Linked DNA regions of Canis lupus familiaris. The protein of the gene in region 1 interacts with the protein of each later gene in a pairwise test. Links are inferred from orthologs where the notes say so. Each region holds a gene or a part of one and is shown on either strand. Other genes may lie near its edges.

Region 1 (7,630 bases):
CTAAAACTAATACAGGCTACATGGAGACATATTGGGTGGAAAAAACAAGCCAAAATAAACTAAACACGCAGCATTGGAACAGAGCTGATACAGGTATCTTGTCTCAATCCTGACTGCCATACAGAAGGGAGTGTATTCCAAAGGGAAAGATGACCAGGGGCTCTTACTGCTATCTCAAGAAACAAACAGTATCATTGTGTCGACTTCTAATAAGCAATGTAATTCCATCCTAGGAAAACAAAGTCTAGAACATCAATACTGCTCTTATTTGAGGGAGGTAGAAAATGCCTTGACCCAGTTTCAGAAAGGAGAAGGGTGGGGCAGTGAGAAAAAAGAGGCAAGAAATTGAGAAACACCGTGGTCCCCCAGCTGGTCACCAATCTGCTTCTCCCTCCATATCTACCTCCGGCTGACCACAAATATAGATCCAAACAATGCTTCACTAAAGATTAAAAACTAAAACAAAAATTCTACTAATGGTAGGGAATTACCATGATCAAAAATTAAAGTAAAATTTAAAAAGCAGTTTAAATTTTGGTATAAAACAATAGTCCTAGGGGAAAGAAAAACCAAGTAACCTTTTATAGTCATATCTAGTATATTATGAAAGTTGATTAAATTCTAACAATAAAGTAGTAAATAACAGGTACTAGTGAAAGAAATTTGGAATGGAGAACTGTGAAGCCAGAATGAATTTTAGAAACTATCAGGTTCATCCTGGACCTTCCGTCTTCCTTTCCAGGATCTGCTGAGGTGTTCCATTCCCATAGCCCTCATTTTTATTCTAGTCACCTCCCCATTTCTCTCCAATTCTTTAGAGCCAAATTTATCAAGAGACTGGTCTCCACTTTCAACTCTCCAATCACTATCCAATCCCATCACTTCACCAAAACTTCTCTTGTAAAGGTTACCAAAAATCTTCATGTTACCAAATTCGATAGACACTTTGGAGCCCTAATCTTACTTGACCTTTGCAATGAGCAACTATTGTTTTTAATTGTCCCACATTCATTTCCCCTGCTTGAGTGATAAATCGGTGTTATGTTTGGGGATCTAAGCCTCTCCCATTGGATATGCCCTTGGTAAGATCATAGATTAAGGTATTCTTTTCTTCATTGGCCAACTGTTGCACACTTGACCCACATTGAACAAAACAGACACTTTTCCTCAGAATGTGAATTGTAAAAGAAGTAACAAAGGGTTGAAAACTGCTGCAGCAGCCCATTCATGCCAGTAATGATGCGAGCAGATTCCCCTGGGGCTGCTCGGATTCCTGTCCTTCATAAAGCCAGGGCCTTCATCATCTCTTTAATCCCAAGAGCTGCCCACACCTTTGTTATGAATTCCTCTTCTGAAGCAAACTAGTCACTTGTAACCAGAGCCATAATTGGTATTATCCCTTAGAAGTACTGCCTCCTTTCTCAAATACTTTACTTACACTCTCTGCTTCCAAGATACATGTTCATTTTACTCTCTCATCATTGCCATTCTTCTAGTTTCCTTTTTTTTTCTTCTTCTTCTAGTTTCCTTTGGTAATCCCTATACTCTTCCTGCACTCTGCCTCTAAATATTAATATTCCTCAGGATACTATTCAGGCTCTCTCTTCTTGCTACAATATCCTCCAAGTGTGAATTTGTATCTTTAAATGATACTGTCGCCAATTTTTTAAAGTTTTTATTTAAATTCCAATTAGTTAACATACAGTGTAATATTAGTTTCAGGTATATAACAGTTATTCATTTCTTCCATACAACACCTGGTGCTCACTACCAAAATTTTTATCTATAGCTCTAATACTCTGAGCTGCAGACCTGTATATACAATTGCTTACTTGACGTCTCTGCTTAACGTTTTAACTCGATATCTCAAATTTAATATGTCCAAAATGAATTCTCTCCCAACCCTATCTGCCATCACACCACGCCAGTCTCATTCACCACAACCCTCCACTCAAGCTGGGACCACCACTGACCCCATTTAGGAGTCATTTTTATTACTTTCTTTCCTTTGCTCCCAATATCCAGTCCAGCTGCAAGTCCTATTGAGACAGCAAATCCACCTATTTCTATCTCTACTGCCACCTCCCTTTTTCAGGCCAGCATCAACACTTGCTCTAAAACTACTGTTAGTGCTACCTAACTGGTCTCCCTGCTCTTGTCTCCCTCCACTCTATTCTCTTCACAGTAGTAAGGATTATCTTAAAATGTGATCTCACTCACCTGCTTGAAATTCTTTACTTGGCATCCCAATGCACCTAGAAAAAATCCAAACTCTTTATCCTAGCCTATAAGAACCTATGTGATCCTCTCCTCGTTCCCCAACCACACTCCAGAGTCACTCTCTGCTCACCAAGCTCTAGCCATCTTAGTTCCTTGAACAAATTAAGCTCTTTCTGATGTTAGAGATGTGCACATGTCATTTCCTCTACCTTGGAACACTGTCCCCTCTCTCCATTGGTTAGCTCTTTTTCACTCCTTTGGGCTCTAACTATCAACTCATTTAGAAAGGCTTTGTCTGCCTGACCACCTTACCCAAAGAATATTCCTAATACTTCCATCTTTAGTCTCTAACTCTCCTATTTCTAATTCCTTTAGTTTTATATAGTATTTGTTTTTTGTCTGGCTACCTCCTAAATTTTAAGTTCCATAAATAAGGGCAGGAACTAGTCTGTCTTGTTCATAACTTTACTTTCCCCTACCTAACACAGTGTCTGGCAAAGTACTATATGTAATTCATAAGGAAGTTACATCTCCAAGAGTCATTTCTGATACTGTGACACTCTAAGATTGTATTTACTATGAGATTAAAGGGCTTCCATATAAACTTCCCTGCAAGCACTTAGTAGGCACTAAGTATCCGTACAATGAATGAATGACATGCAAATAATACCAAAAATTTGTCTCTATTCCTGACCTTTCTTCTAAACTCCAGATTTCGGGATCCCTGGGTGGCGCAGCGGTTTGGCGCCTGCCTTTGACCCAGGGTGCGATCCTGGAGACCCGGGATCGAATCCCGCATGGGGCTTCCGGTGCATGGAGCCTGCTTCTCCCTCTGCCTGTGTCTCTGCCTCTCTCTCTCTCTGTGACTATCATAAATAAATAAATAAAAATTAAAAAATAAAAAATAAAAAAAATAAACTCCAGATTTCATTTCTAACTGCTTGGATATCCATCTCAAACCAACAATGTCCAAAATCCAGATTATCATCTCCACCACCAAACCTGTTCTTCCTATATTATCCACTTAAATTATTGCCCAATCTTCTTCCCACTCAGCTGCAAATTCTAGGTCTTTAACAATATCTCATCCTCCATATTTAAATAACCCCAGTAGATAGCTGAAATATATGTAACCAATAAAACCACTATTTAAAAAATAAATAAATAACCCCAGTAGTTCTGACTCCCTCAGATTTATTCCTCCTGTAATACTCTGTTTAGGGCTCATTATCTTTCAACTACGCTATTAAAATAGGCTTCTAAGGGGTCAAGCTGCCCTAAAAATTCCCTTTTCAATCTGCCTTTTTTTTTTTTTAATTTATTCATGAGAGACACAGAGAGAGAGAGGTAGAGATACAGGCAGAGGGAGAAGCAGGCTCCATCCAGGGAGCCCCATGTGGGACTCAATCCCGGGACTCCAGGATCACGCCCTGGGCCGAAGGCAGGCGCTAAACTGCTGACCACCCAGGCGTCCCTCAGTCCACCTTTTTATGCAGCCACTTGCGTTATCTTTCTAAAACACAGAAATGCTTATGTTACTCTACTCATTCAAAATTCAGGGCCTGAGAAAATTCCTAAGCCTGGCAGCATGGCATTTCAAATATTCTACAATGTATCCTCAACTACTGTTCCAGTTACAGCACTGTCCATATTCCTCAATTAACCCTTTACTCCAGCCGACAGGGACTGGCTTTTGAATGAACACACCAGCCTATATCAGTGCTCAAGTCTTTGCTTAGACTAGTTCTTCAACCAGTAATAAGTACTGCCAATCCAGTTGCGATGTTTTAAAATCCTTTCCAGTCTTTAAAATCCAACTCAAGTGCCGTCCTCCAGTAAGACTCTGATCCTTTCCCTCCAGTAAGAACAAATCTCTCTTTTCCTTGGTGTTCTCACAACACACTGTTTCACCTCTCTTTAGCAATTATTCCATTCTGTCTTGGTTGTTAATTGTCTACATGCATATTTTTTTCACTGGTTAAGGCCGCTGAATTTATTCATTCTAACTCTGCATTAACCAAGTATGATGCTTTGAACAAATTAAGCATTCAGGAAGTATCTGTTGAATAAATAGGTAAGTCTCTTCCCCTGGGGGGAGGGGGGAGCTAGAGATTAAGTAACTTGTCAAAAATTCAGACATTTACTTAGATGCAGAATTTTTAAAAATAAGAACCTAAGGGCAGCCCCAGTGGCCCAGCGGTTTAGCACCTGCCTTCAGTCCAGGGTCTGATCCTGGAGACCCGGGATCGAGTCCCACGTCGGGCTCCCTGCATGGAGCCTGCTTCTCCCTCTGCCTGTGTCTCTGCCTCTCTCTCTGTGTGTGTCTCTCATAAATAAATAAAATCTTTTAAAAAAAAAATAAGAAGAACCTAAATCTTCTGTTCAGTTGAGTTTACTCTGTCCACGCTAAGATCACCCAAAGTGGAATTTCTCACTCCCTAACAACAAAATGCCACTGACTTTATTTCAGAATGTTTCTTTCACTCTCATTGAAAGTATGTTGCATTGACCCGCGTGCCAAAGTGAAGAAATACAAATTCTTGAGTCCCAAGTTAGCAATATTTAAACTTCCGAATGGTGCCCCATATCCCACATGCGTGAGCAAGTGGGATAAACTTTAATCGACTAACTGCATTCTTGTCTCTGAAGAAACTTCAGAGGATAAATTTAACCTGCGAACGCATTCAGCCCACAGCCTCGCCTGGAGACGACAGGAGGAGAAGCGAGCAGCCAAGCCCCTCAGAGCCGGCAGCCTTCCTCCTAGACTCAGGAAGTAAGTGGACGTATGAAGGAAGAAGGTAGCTCCGGGCCGAAAGAACCAGGGCAGAGTCCCTTGGCATCCTCGTTCCCCCTCTGCAACGGCCTTAGCGTGAGGCCCCAAGGGCCGCGGGCAGGCCCGGCGGCGGGTGCAGTCCGGCAGCCCCCGCCCTGGGGACTCGCTGACTCCAGCTTTCTCGGGACCGTCTTGTTCCCAAGCCCCCGCCCTCAAAACCAAGCAAAGGAGCCGAAACCTCCGCCCCACTACGCCGCGAGGGGCAGGGCCGAAGCCGCAGGGCTTTAGACCGGCCGCTCCCGGGCCCGCCAGATCTGGGAGGGGTGCCCAAGGGGGGCGGCTTCCCTGTCCTCTCCGGGCGGTGGGGAGGAGGAGCGAATTCGGCCCCAGCTCCCGAGAGGCCGCTACCGGCTCCCTCCCTGCCGGGGACCACCTAGCCGCGCGGGTGTGGCCCGGCCCGGCCCGGCGCTCACCTTTCCGTCCCGGGCAGCCGGCCGGCCGTCAGGCGGTCCCGAATTCCGTCCACACACAGCGTCTTCCGGCTCCCGCCGGAAGCAGCAGGAGCGCGGGACAGGAAGTTTGGCCGGCCCCCAACGCTCACACCCACTCGCTCGCCCCGGGCCGGACGGCGGCCGCCCCGCGCCGGGGGCAGCCTGAGGCGGGCGAGGCGCGCGGGGACCCGGCTGTCTGAGCAGGGCTGGACCCCCGCCCCCGGGACTAGGGCTGCGGTCTCCGGCGTCCTAGTCATTCCAGGCCTCGGGGCCCCGAGGTCTGCGAAACCCGAAAAACGGGGTCAGTGCATTCCAGCCGTGACGTCGCCGCTTCCTCGCAGCGGCAGATGAGGTAGTTTTTCCTGTCAGCTGAGATCGGAACTAGTTACAATGGAGGCCAGCGAGAAGGAGAGCACTCCTTAAACACCGACCAGAGTTCTCACTGAAGAGGAACACTTCGAAGCTTCACTGCTTGAGAAGGGAACTTGCAGAATCTAGCTCAGCATTGCATTCGCACAGGGTAAGAGTTGAGACTCGAGTGTACGACTTTCCTTGTAACATGATCTCCCTAGAGTCTGGGTTCCCTGTGTTAGGATGCAAAGAGGTCTCGGATATCCACACTGGGGACTAAAACACTTGAGCTCCAGGCTGGATGCCACAACTAACTTGTTAGAGCTTTATGCGGTTGAGACTTTTGAAATTACTCATTTGTGAGTACCTGCTGTGTGCCAAAGGATGAGGACCTCAACTGAGGCAGTGGCAGTGATGGAAATTAAAGGCGTTCTCTAAGAAAGGTATTTATTTTCAAGGTTAAACACAAGCCTTAATGATAGGCATCTGAATGAGTGAGGGAGTAGTAGTTTGGGTGTGCAAAGGATGGTGATTTAAAAACAAAGTAGAAACACGTAAGAGGAAGGTAATTTCTTTTTGGATAAACAGTTTATCCCAGGTGTCAACAGGATATTTTACTTGGGAGGTCTTAAGCTCGAGTAAGAGGTCAGAAATAGAAATGTACTCTGCCTTTGGCCCAGGCCATGATCCAGGGTCCTGGGATGGAGTCCCGCATGAGGGTCCTGCGAGAAGCCTGCTTCTCACTCTGCCTCTCTGTTTCTCATGAATAAATAAAATCTTTAAATAAAAAAAAAGAAAAGAAAGAAAGGAAAGAAAGGAAAAAAAAAAGATTTGGGAGTTATCAACATATAAACCAGAGATGAAGTGCTCTCTGGAGATGAAATGGTCCAGGAAAGGTATATAAAACGAGAACACTGAAGTCAACCAGAGTGACTGATTTACTAACAATGTAAATCTACTTTCCACAAATGTCGCAGGCAAAAGTATAGAGCAGGGTGTAAACAGGTGACCATAAACCAACACAGCACCTAGGAAAATAAAATCAATTTTATTGTTGTAAAGGGCTGATTATAATTAATGAAACAGATCCTCTTATTTAAAGGCACATTAATTTTGAACGTTCATGTTTCAAACATTTGTTAATTTTCTTAGTCCTGTCATTTTCTAAAGCTGTCTTGATTGCCTAAATATTTCTAATCACCTGAAACTTCAAGTGATGTTTATATCTATTTGCCCTGGAAAATCTTTATGCTATTTGACAGTATATGCCTGCTAACTTAAAACAAACATGCTTTATCAATATATATTGAGTTTTTATGCTATAGAGGAAACTAGTTAGCAAAACACAGATCATCCTCTGTAGTAAACTAGTTTCTTCATCAACCTGACTGACCTGTTATTTATCTTCTCAACACAAAGTCTCTGCTCTCCTATCCTGAAAACTCCACAAGCTCTAAATTCCACCCCCCAAACTCTAACACGTGCCCTGCTATTAAATCCCTTTTCTATCTACAATACAGAAAAGCCATCCCAATTCTATTCTTATACCAAGTTACAGTTCAAGAATTATATAAAGCATTTCCAGGTCAACATACATTTACTACATGTCTTCACAAGCATTCTATTTTAAATAAAAGTTATTAACTGTAAAAATCCATTTATTTTGTATAATCCATTAAACAGTTATATCAAATCTCCAGTGGTTTCCAAATATCTGATCAAATATCATATATAATACCAGTTTTAGTAAAAGAAAGAAAAATAGGTCATGTTAACTTCAATCTATTACTGTAAA
Region 2 (7,761 bases), on another chromosome or scaffold:
GAGTTTCCAGAAGGGAACACACAGAGGCCCTGTGAAAAGCCACAGCCGCGCCAGGGCTGGCAGCTCCGCTAGGAATGGTGTGGGCCCTGGAATCTGCTGGCTGAGGTAGTGTGGCCTCTTGGGGTTGAGCCGAGGGCGGAGGGGCGCGCTAGAACCAGGGAGCCTGCACAATCATCTGGGGGTCAGACATGGGGAGCCTGGGGTAGGTCCTCAGGCATGAGCTGCTCATAAACCTGAAGGCACCACAGGGAAGGGAATAGCGCTGATCTAGCCCATATGGTGCTTTTATGCAAAAGGCATGCCCCTTCCCCAAGGCACTTGACCTCCATCTGCTGGGAAACTGTTGTAGCAAATATGTCAATGAATGGTGCCTGAAATACGCACGGTAGCCCCTTAGATAGGGAGTCTGCGTGCAGTGCACAACCTGTGCAACTGTCTGCGGAGGCTCTGGGGAGAGGGGGCATCGCCGAGCGAGCAGGCACAGGGGCAGATGGGAGCATCGTCGACAGATGGGTAGGCTGTCTGCACCAGTATGTATCACAGATTATTTCCCCGATTTGGCACCCAGAGACATCAGAAACAGGCTCCCAGAGTGCTGTAAACAGAGGGCAGTGCTGGCCCCACACGGGGACTCCCTGACCCCCCCACCCCCACCCCAGGGCAGATTTCAAGGAAATGTGAGGCAGCGGCATCTCAGACCCCCAGACTGAGCACCAGGGGGCATTGCTGAGCTCAGCACCCAAACTCCCGAGGTCTGGGTCTGGGTCAAAACCGAGTCTGAGTCCCACTGCCCAGAGCTGGGAGTCACCAGGTGCTGGAGTCCGGCACCCGAGGACCCTCGGCCTCCGCACCGGCTCCGCTCGGGCCACCCCCGCTCCCCCCGGGGCCGCCTCATCCACTTCCAGAAATGGGCACGACTTCCTCTCCTGCTCCAGGAAGCTCGGCTCTGCCCGCCCCTTCCCGGCCCGAGGGCCACCGCAGCCGCCCGCCTCCCCCCGGTTCCACCCCAGCCTCAGCCTCCCCGGAGCTTCCGGCCGGAGGGGAGGCCCCGGGGCCCAGCGATTTTGGTGTCCTGGGGCCGGCGACCCCGCGATCGAGGCCCAGCTGGGCCCGGGGCCGCCGTCCGGCCCTCTGCCCCTCCCCGGCCCCCGCCCCCGCCCCCGCCGCGCCCCTCCCCCGCCCGCACCCGGCGCTGCCCTGCCCCCAGCGCCAGGAAGGACGCCGCCTGGGTCCCGTGCCAGGCCTCTGAGTGTGCGGCCCCTCCCAGCCGGGCCAGGAATGCGGCTGGACGGCGGGGGCGGCGCAGACACCCGGCGCTCGGGCCAGCCCTATCGCACAAGCAGTCTGGCAGGTGGCCTCGGCCCGGGCCTGGGTTTCTTCTAGAAGGAAAAGCAGGACGGCCGGCCTGGCGGTCAAGCCACTAAGCCCGGTGGCTTTATTTCAGAGTCACCCTCCAAGGTGCCCTATCCCCTGCTCAAAGACAGATGTGAGATCCCGAGTGGATTTTTTTTTTTTTTTTAACTTGCTGGAGTCTCGTTATCTTTCCCCATTTTCCTGGAGAGCCTGCTCTCCGTGTTCTTTGGAGAGGCTCCATCCAGCTTCCACCTTTGGGCTTTTATTTCTGGCTCATTCTGAAAGCTCCCTTTTGCCCACCTCCACCCCCCACCCCCCACCCCTCGCCAGCTCCAAGACACACAGGTACACTCCAAGCAAGGAAGGACACGACTTCAAGGGGCCCAGGTTCCTCCATGGCCACCACCACCATTATGTACACACACAGGTGCATCAGGGAAACCTGGCTGGGTATGTTCTGGGGAGTTTTCTAGAGGGCCAGTTACCAGAGCTAATTGATCTGCTTATCAAACCAATAAAGCAGTAAAGCTCACGATTTGAAACCCACCTCCACACGTGATGACCTCTCAGAGCTTCTGGGCTGTAAAGTGAGGATAGTAATAATGCCCACCTTGTTCAGCTGATGGGAAGAGTTAACACACGTCCAGTGCTAAGCACTGTGCCAGGTACACACAGTCCATGCTCACTAAATGTTGGAGAACATCATGATACCCTTGCCTTAGCCCAGAGACAAAGCACACAGACTTGAAATTTCCCAGGACTGGTTTTTAATTTCCATAAAATGGTGCGGTCTCTTCCCACATCAGGGAAAGAGTATCCCAGGCTATAACCCCTGGGGATTCAGTCCAGTACAGGGCCCGGTCCAAATCACATTCCAGCCACCAGGCCCTGTGATCCCATCCCAAGGGCCAATCCCAGACTCCCCTCATTAGTCCTAGACAAGAGGACAGAGGTGAAGTTGCTCAGGACTGGATTCTGTCTCTCCAAAGGCCCTCTCTCTGCTCTAAGGAAGCCAGCTGTGTCTTTCCAAGGAGAGTTGGTCCAGCCACCAGGCTCAGTTTGGACACCAGACCACCATCCCAGTTGTGGGGATCAGCGCCCTGGACCCGGTGGCCGCTCCAGTGCCTGTGTGCCCACCAACACGTCCAGGAGGTAGTCCAGCTCAGCCTCATCCAGTTCCAGAGCCTCCTCCTTGCCAGGCCCATCCTCAGGGCCAGGTTTGAGGCCCTCGGAGGCTGGTGCCCAAAGTTCACTGTCATACATAGAGGTGTCGATGTCCTCAAACAGACCCTCAAGCTCATCGTCCAGCAGACAGCCAGTGGCTGGGCCCAGCAGGTCCAAGGCACCCAGGTTGGGTGGGGATCCTCCAGTGGGGCGGCCCGGTGGCCCCTCGTCCACCAAGGGCTGGGGGGCCTGGCTCAGGCCCTCGATATGGCTGAGGTCCTCCAGAAGGCTGGCCATGGAGGCTGAGAGGGCAGCGTCTGAGCTGGCCAGCAGATTGTCAGCCACACAAGGGGCCGCAGGCGGGCTGGGCACAGGTGGCAGGGTAGGTTCAGGTGCCATGGATGCCTGGATGCGCCGCAGCGTGTTCACTACCAGTACCAGGTGCCGCAGGTCCGGCTCACTCTGCCGCAGGCTGTGGTGGAGCTTGAGCACAGAAAGGTCCAAGAGGGAACTGGAGGCCACGGCCGGGGGGGCCTGTGCCACTGCTGGGAGGCTGGGATCCAGCCACCAGGAGTCCACTGCCAGGGCTTCCTTCTCCCGCTCCTCCTCCCGCTTGCGCTTCAGACCTTTGCTCAGCATCATCTGCAGGGAGGGAGGAGTCATTCAGTTATGGAAAGTCAATGTTAAGTTAAAAACCCTGTCTCTGATAACTTATGTCTGGTGTGATCTTGAGCAGGCCATTTAATTTCTTGAACCTGTGCTTTCTTAGGGAAACCTGAAGATATGAGTGATCATAGTATCTACCTCATGGAGCTGTTATATAGAGTAAATGTGGTAACGTACAAAAAAGCACTTACAACAGTGCCTAGTACATTGTAACGATTCTTATTAACAAATACTCTTAATAGCTATTATTATGTATTTCTTCAGTGAACCATGTGAAATGCCCAAAATTCAATCTTTTTAACTCATGAAAGCAGCTGTTTTACATAGTTCCATCCGACACTTACTGTCTACTACCCATCAGACAAATAAATAAATAAATACAGGAAATGTAGAGGTGTGCTAGGAAGATATTCAAAGGTTCTGGGGAGTGGTCACGGAAGGCTCCTCCGAGGTGACATTTTAGCTGACCCTTCCTCAAGCAGGAGGAGCCACCCACAGAAGGACCAGGGGAAAGCATTCCGGGAAGAGAGAACAACAAGGGCAAAGAAAGACCTGGAGGCTGGATGAGCATGAACTGAAAAAAAACAAAACAAAACAAAACAAAATAAAACACCAGTGTGGTCAGCGCAGAGTGACACGGAAGGGGACCGGGTTTGGAGAGCAAGCAGAGGCAAGGAGTTTGGATTTTACTGTGAGTGTCATTGAAGGATTTTGAGCAGGGAACACGGGTGGTGTTGTGAACTGATTAGATTTCCAGAAGATCCCCCCTCGGCTGCTTCGAGTTAGATGAGGGTGAAAGGAAGGGAAACGGGGAAGAGCGCGGTCCTGAGCTCCATTCAGAGGCCACCGCGCTCTGGGGCGGGTGATGGTGGGGGCCTGAAGTGGAAGGTGGAGGGCAGTGGACATGGAAAGAAGTTGGTTGCTTCCGGATTTCTTTGGGAGGCAGAGTAGACATGGCTCGCTGGGAAATCCTGACCGGCACCGGGGGGTCACCAAGAGAACTTTGAGGACCCACACTCTCCCCGAGATAGGGGCCCCTGGCGTTCTGGACGCCAGGCCCAACTTACTTTCTTGAGCCTGGAAGCTTGAAGGCTCCAATCCCCTTGCCCAACAGGACCTTAAAAGCGACTCCTCACACTTCTCAAAACGGTCCTCGCCTCCTTCCCCGAAGACCCGGGAGTCCAGAACCGCAGGAATTCAGGCGCCCCCCTCCCCGGACTCCGCCCCCCCGTCCCGGCGCCCCCTAGCGGCGCCAGAACGGCTTTCCCCGGGGATTCCGGCCCCTCGGACCCCGGGATCCTCGATACGGCCCCACGTCCTGGCTGTCGTTCCTGCCCGCAGCGCAGGGCCGTGCGGGCCGGGAACCCCGAGGGCTGTTCTGCTCTCTCGGCCTGTGCTCGCTTCCGGCAGGCAGTGGAGGCGGCTCCTCCCGAAGCGGCGGCGGCGGCGGGGGCGGGTGAGTCACGCAGCCGGAGCCAGAGAGCCGGCGCCTCCGCCCCCTTCCCGGGCTGCGGCGTGATTCACCCAGCCCGGCCGGGCGACACTCGGGGGCCCGCGCATCTCGATCCCGGGCAGCCCCGGCGCGCACCGGCCGGACCCGGGGATCGAACCTGCCAAACGACCCCCTCGCGGGTTTCCCTTCTCGCCTCGGCCCCCTTCACTTCATTTACATACCTAGCTCACCCGCTGCCAATCAGAACGAAGAGGGATCCACGCGCAGCCAATCAGGGAGCGGCGACGGCAGCATCGCTCGCTCGCTCTCCTTCAGCAGCCGGCGCCTGGGTCGGTAGACGCAGTTCTGACTCCGGCGCACGACTCCAGGCTCCTGACTCCCCTTAACTACCGCCCACTCCCGCGGTGGCCCCGCCCTCGGCCCGCGATTGGCCTTGGGCGGTGATGGGCGGGGCCTGGAGAAGGAAGGTTCGAAGGGAGGGGAGGGTGGCTTCAGGGCGCATGCCTGGCGACTGTGTAAGGAGCCGAGGCCAGGTGGGGTGGCTGTGTTCACTGCGGGGCAGTGGCTGGGAGGGGTTTCTTCCTTCTCAAGGTGTGAGCCCCTCACACCTGCCCGTACATTTGCCAAACCCAGCAATTGAGCAACTTACAGACCCAGTCCTAACAGAGGTCTGCACTCTAAGCCAGATAAGCATGGGTTCAAATTCTGACCACTTACTCAACGTGCGATCTAGGGAAAAAAAAATCCTTGGACCTCTCTGAGCCACACACAAAGTCTGTTAAATGGACAGCTTCTTGCCTACCTCTTGAGAGTCGGGAAAATTAAAATAAGGTTGTGTCTTTAAGAGCACCATAGCGCACTAAGCAAATGCTGAGCAGTTGGACTCAATAGTGGTTACAGGAGGGGGAGGGGGAGCCGGTGGGGATAGGAATAGAGCCACTGGAGTCACATCCTGGGCTCCATTCCCTAAGTAGCTGTGTGACCTTGGGCAAGTAATTTTAATCCCAAAGGTCTCAGTTTCCTCACCTTTTTAAAATGAGAGTATTTTGAGGATTAAAAAGAATAATCACACAGGGGCCCGAGGCAGGCTCAGTCGAGAGCATGTGACTCTTGACCTCTAAGTTATGAGTTCAAGGCCCCCGCGCTGGGGGCAGAGATTCTTTTTTTTTTTTTTTTTTTTAAGATTTTATTTATTTACTCATGAGAGACACAGGCAGAGGGAGAGGCAGGCTCCCTGGTGGGAGCCCAAACAAGATTCAATTCTAGATCCCAGGATCATGACCTGAGGCAAAGGCAGATAGATGCTCAACCGCTGACCCACCCAGGCGTCCCAGGTGTAGACATTTCATAAAAATAAGATCTAAAAGAAAAAAAGAGGGGCGTGTGGGTGGCTCAGGTCATGATCCTAGGGTTCTGGGATCAAGTCCCACATCTGGCTCCCTACTCAGCAGGGAGTCTGCTTCTCCATCTCCCTCTACCCCTCCCCCTTGCTCATGCTCTCTCTCAAATAAATAAAAAAAGAAAAAAATAATCCCACAAAGTGCTCAGAATGGTGCACAACATGTCCTTTTGTTGGTAGTAATAGCTGTTGTGGTTATAGCACAGGTGCTTAATTCAAGGCAGGACACCTGGGGTCGGGTATGGGTAGACAGGAAGTTAACGCTTGTCTGGTAAACTGACAAGGGGACTTAACTTCTCCAAGTAGCTCATTTGCTAACTCTTTTTGAATTGTGGGAAGAACTGTTGTGAATAGAGTTCCTGGCCAAAGTAAGCTCTAGAAAATGCTAACTAAACTAGTTGATTCAGGTAGCAATTATCAATGGATGTTCAAACCTTAGGGTGAAAGGTTAACCGGATCTTGGCAGGCTCCCACACATACCTCTACTAGGGTTACTTACAAACTGCAAAGGGGGAAATAGTCTTTTATGATGTGGAGATGTGATGCTCACCACCTTAACCATGCAATAAAACTCTACATCCACCATAATGGGACACCCTGACACTGGGTGCCACCTGACATGATGCATTAGGAAGTACATGACATTCCCTATGGAGTCTCCCTGTTAACTTTCACAAACTGAATCTCATGGAGCCTCTAGACCTAATCTTCAGCTTACAGGAAACAGAGAGGAACAAATTTTACAGGAACACAAATACAGAATGTGGGACATCTGCAAGCACAACTAGGCTGTTCCACCAAAAATTCAATTTTGAGAAAACAGAGAAAGGGACTGGTGGGGTTGGTGGTGGAGAATTTTCCAGAATGAAAGTTACTATATGATTTCTTTATTACAACCAAATAAGCATAGGAACTCTTACTAAATCCTGATTTGGGAAGTGGTGGGGGGGATAGCTACATGCCCCCCCCCATGTTTAATATATGCTTAAAATTTTTCATAATAAAAACAGAGTAAAATGCTAATTAGAACCAGGCCCCTGCCAGGCAAATTCACAGAATTTTCTCCCTAACCTATCTTCATGACCTGGGAAAAAAAGGTGGCTCTGAGTCTCCAAGTGGCTTGCTCCGGATCACATGCTGGAGAGCTCACAGGAGTCTCAAGAGCTTGATTAACATGTATTTATTGAGCATCTACTGTATTCTAGGCACCGTGGTAGACACTAGGGGTACAGTACTGGATAAGCCTCACACGGTCTCTCTGTTCATGGATCAGGAGAGGGGTAAGCAGAGGAAAGAAGTGTGAAAACAAAAACACTCATGGATGGAACACCTTCTGTGTGCCAGGCACTCTGGCAGGTATTGATGATAGGGCAGCAATATTATAGACAAAAATCCCTGATGTGAGGAGGTGGACCATACACTTTATAATAAAGAAATAATTTAGTATCTTGGAAGGTGACCAGTGAAAAGGAAAGGAATAAAGCAGAGCAGGAGAGGAAAGTGTGTGTGGTGTGCGGTGTCTGTAGATAGGGTGCTGGTGCTGGTGCTGGTAGAAAGTTCCCTGAGGAGGTGACATTGAGTAGACCCGGTGAAATGAGAGAGGTAGTAAAGCTCTGGAAGAAGAATCTTCCAGCCAGAGGGCAGGGCCAAAGCAAAGGCCGCGAAGCCCGAGCGGGCCGGGAGCCGGGCCAGTGTCCCCGGGCTGCAGGCTGCCTGGCGGGGTCGG

Evidence for each region. The genes of interacting proteins can lie anywhere in the genome.
Region 2: the proteins of ZNF410 (region 1) and SERTAD1 interact in binary tests that used the Homo sapiens proteins (3 or more experiments, as listed by UniProt). The two-hybrid records come from large-scale screens. The link is inferred for Canis lupus familiaris from reciprocal best matches to the Homo sapiens genes ZNF410 and SERTAD1.

What each region holds. Positions count from the first base shown.
Region 1 is NC_049229.1:47,425,362-47,432,991, reverse strand, and holds the start of ZNF410 (zinc finger protein 410), read right to left. Parts: upstream 5,563-7,630; 5' UTR 5,467-5,562; intron 1-5,466. UniProt on the Homo sapiens protein: Transcription factor that binds to the sequence motif 5'-CATCCCATAATA-3', and is specifically required to silence expression of fetal hemoglobin in adult erythroid cells.
Region 2 is NC_049222.1:114,051,556-114,059,316, reverse strand, and holds SERTAD1 (SERTA domain-containing protein 1), read right to left. Parts: upstream 5,018-7,761; 5' UTR 4,858-5,017; intron 4,406-4,857; exon of another isoform or gene 4,251-4,405; intron 3,160-4,250; coding exon 2,446-3,159; 3' UTR 2,098-2,445; downstream 1-2,097. UniProt on the Homo sapiens protein: Acts at E2F-responsive promoters as coregulator to integrate signals provided by PHD- and/or bromodomain-containing transcription factors. Stimulates E2F1/TFDP1 transcriptional activity.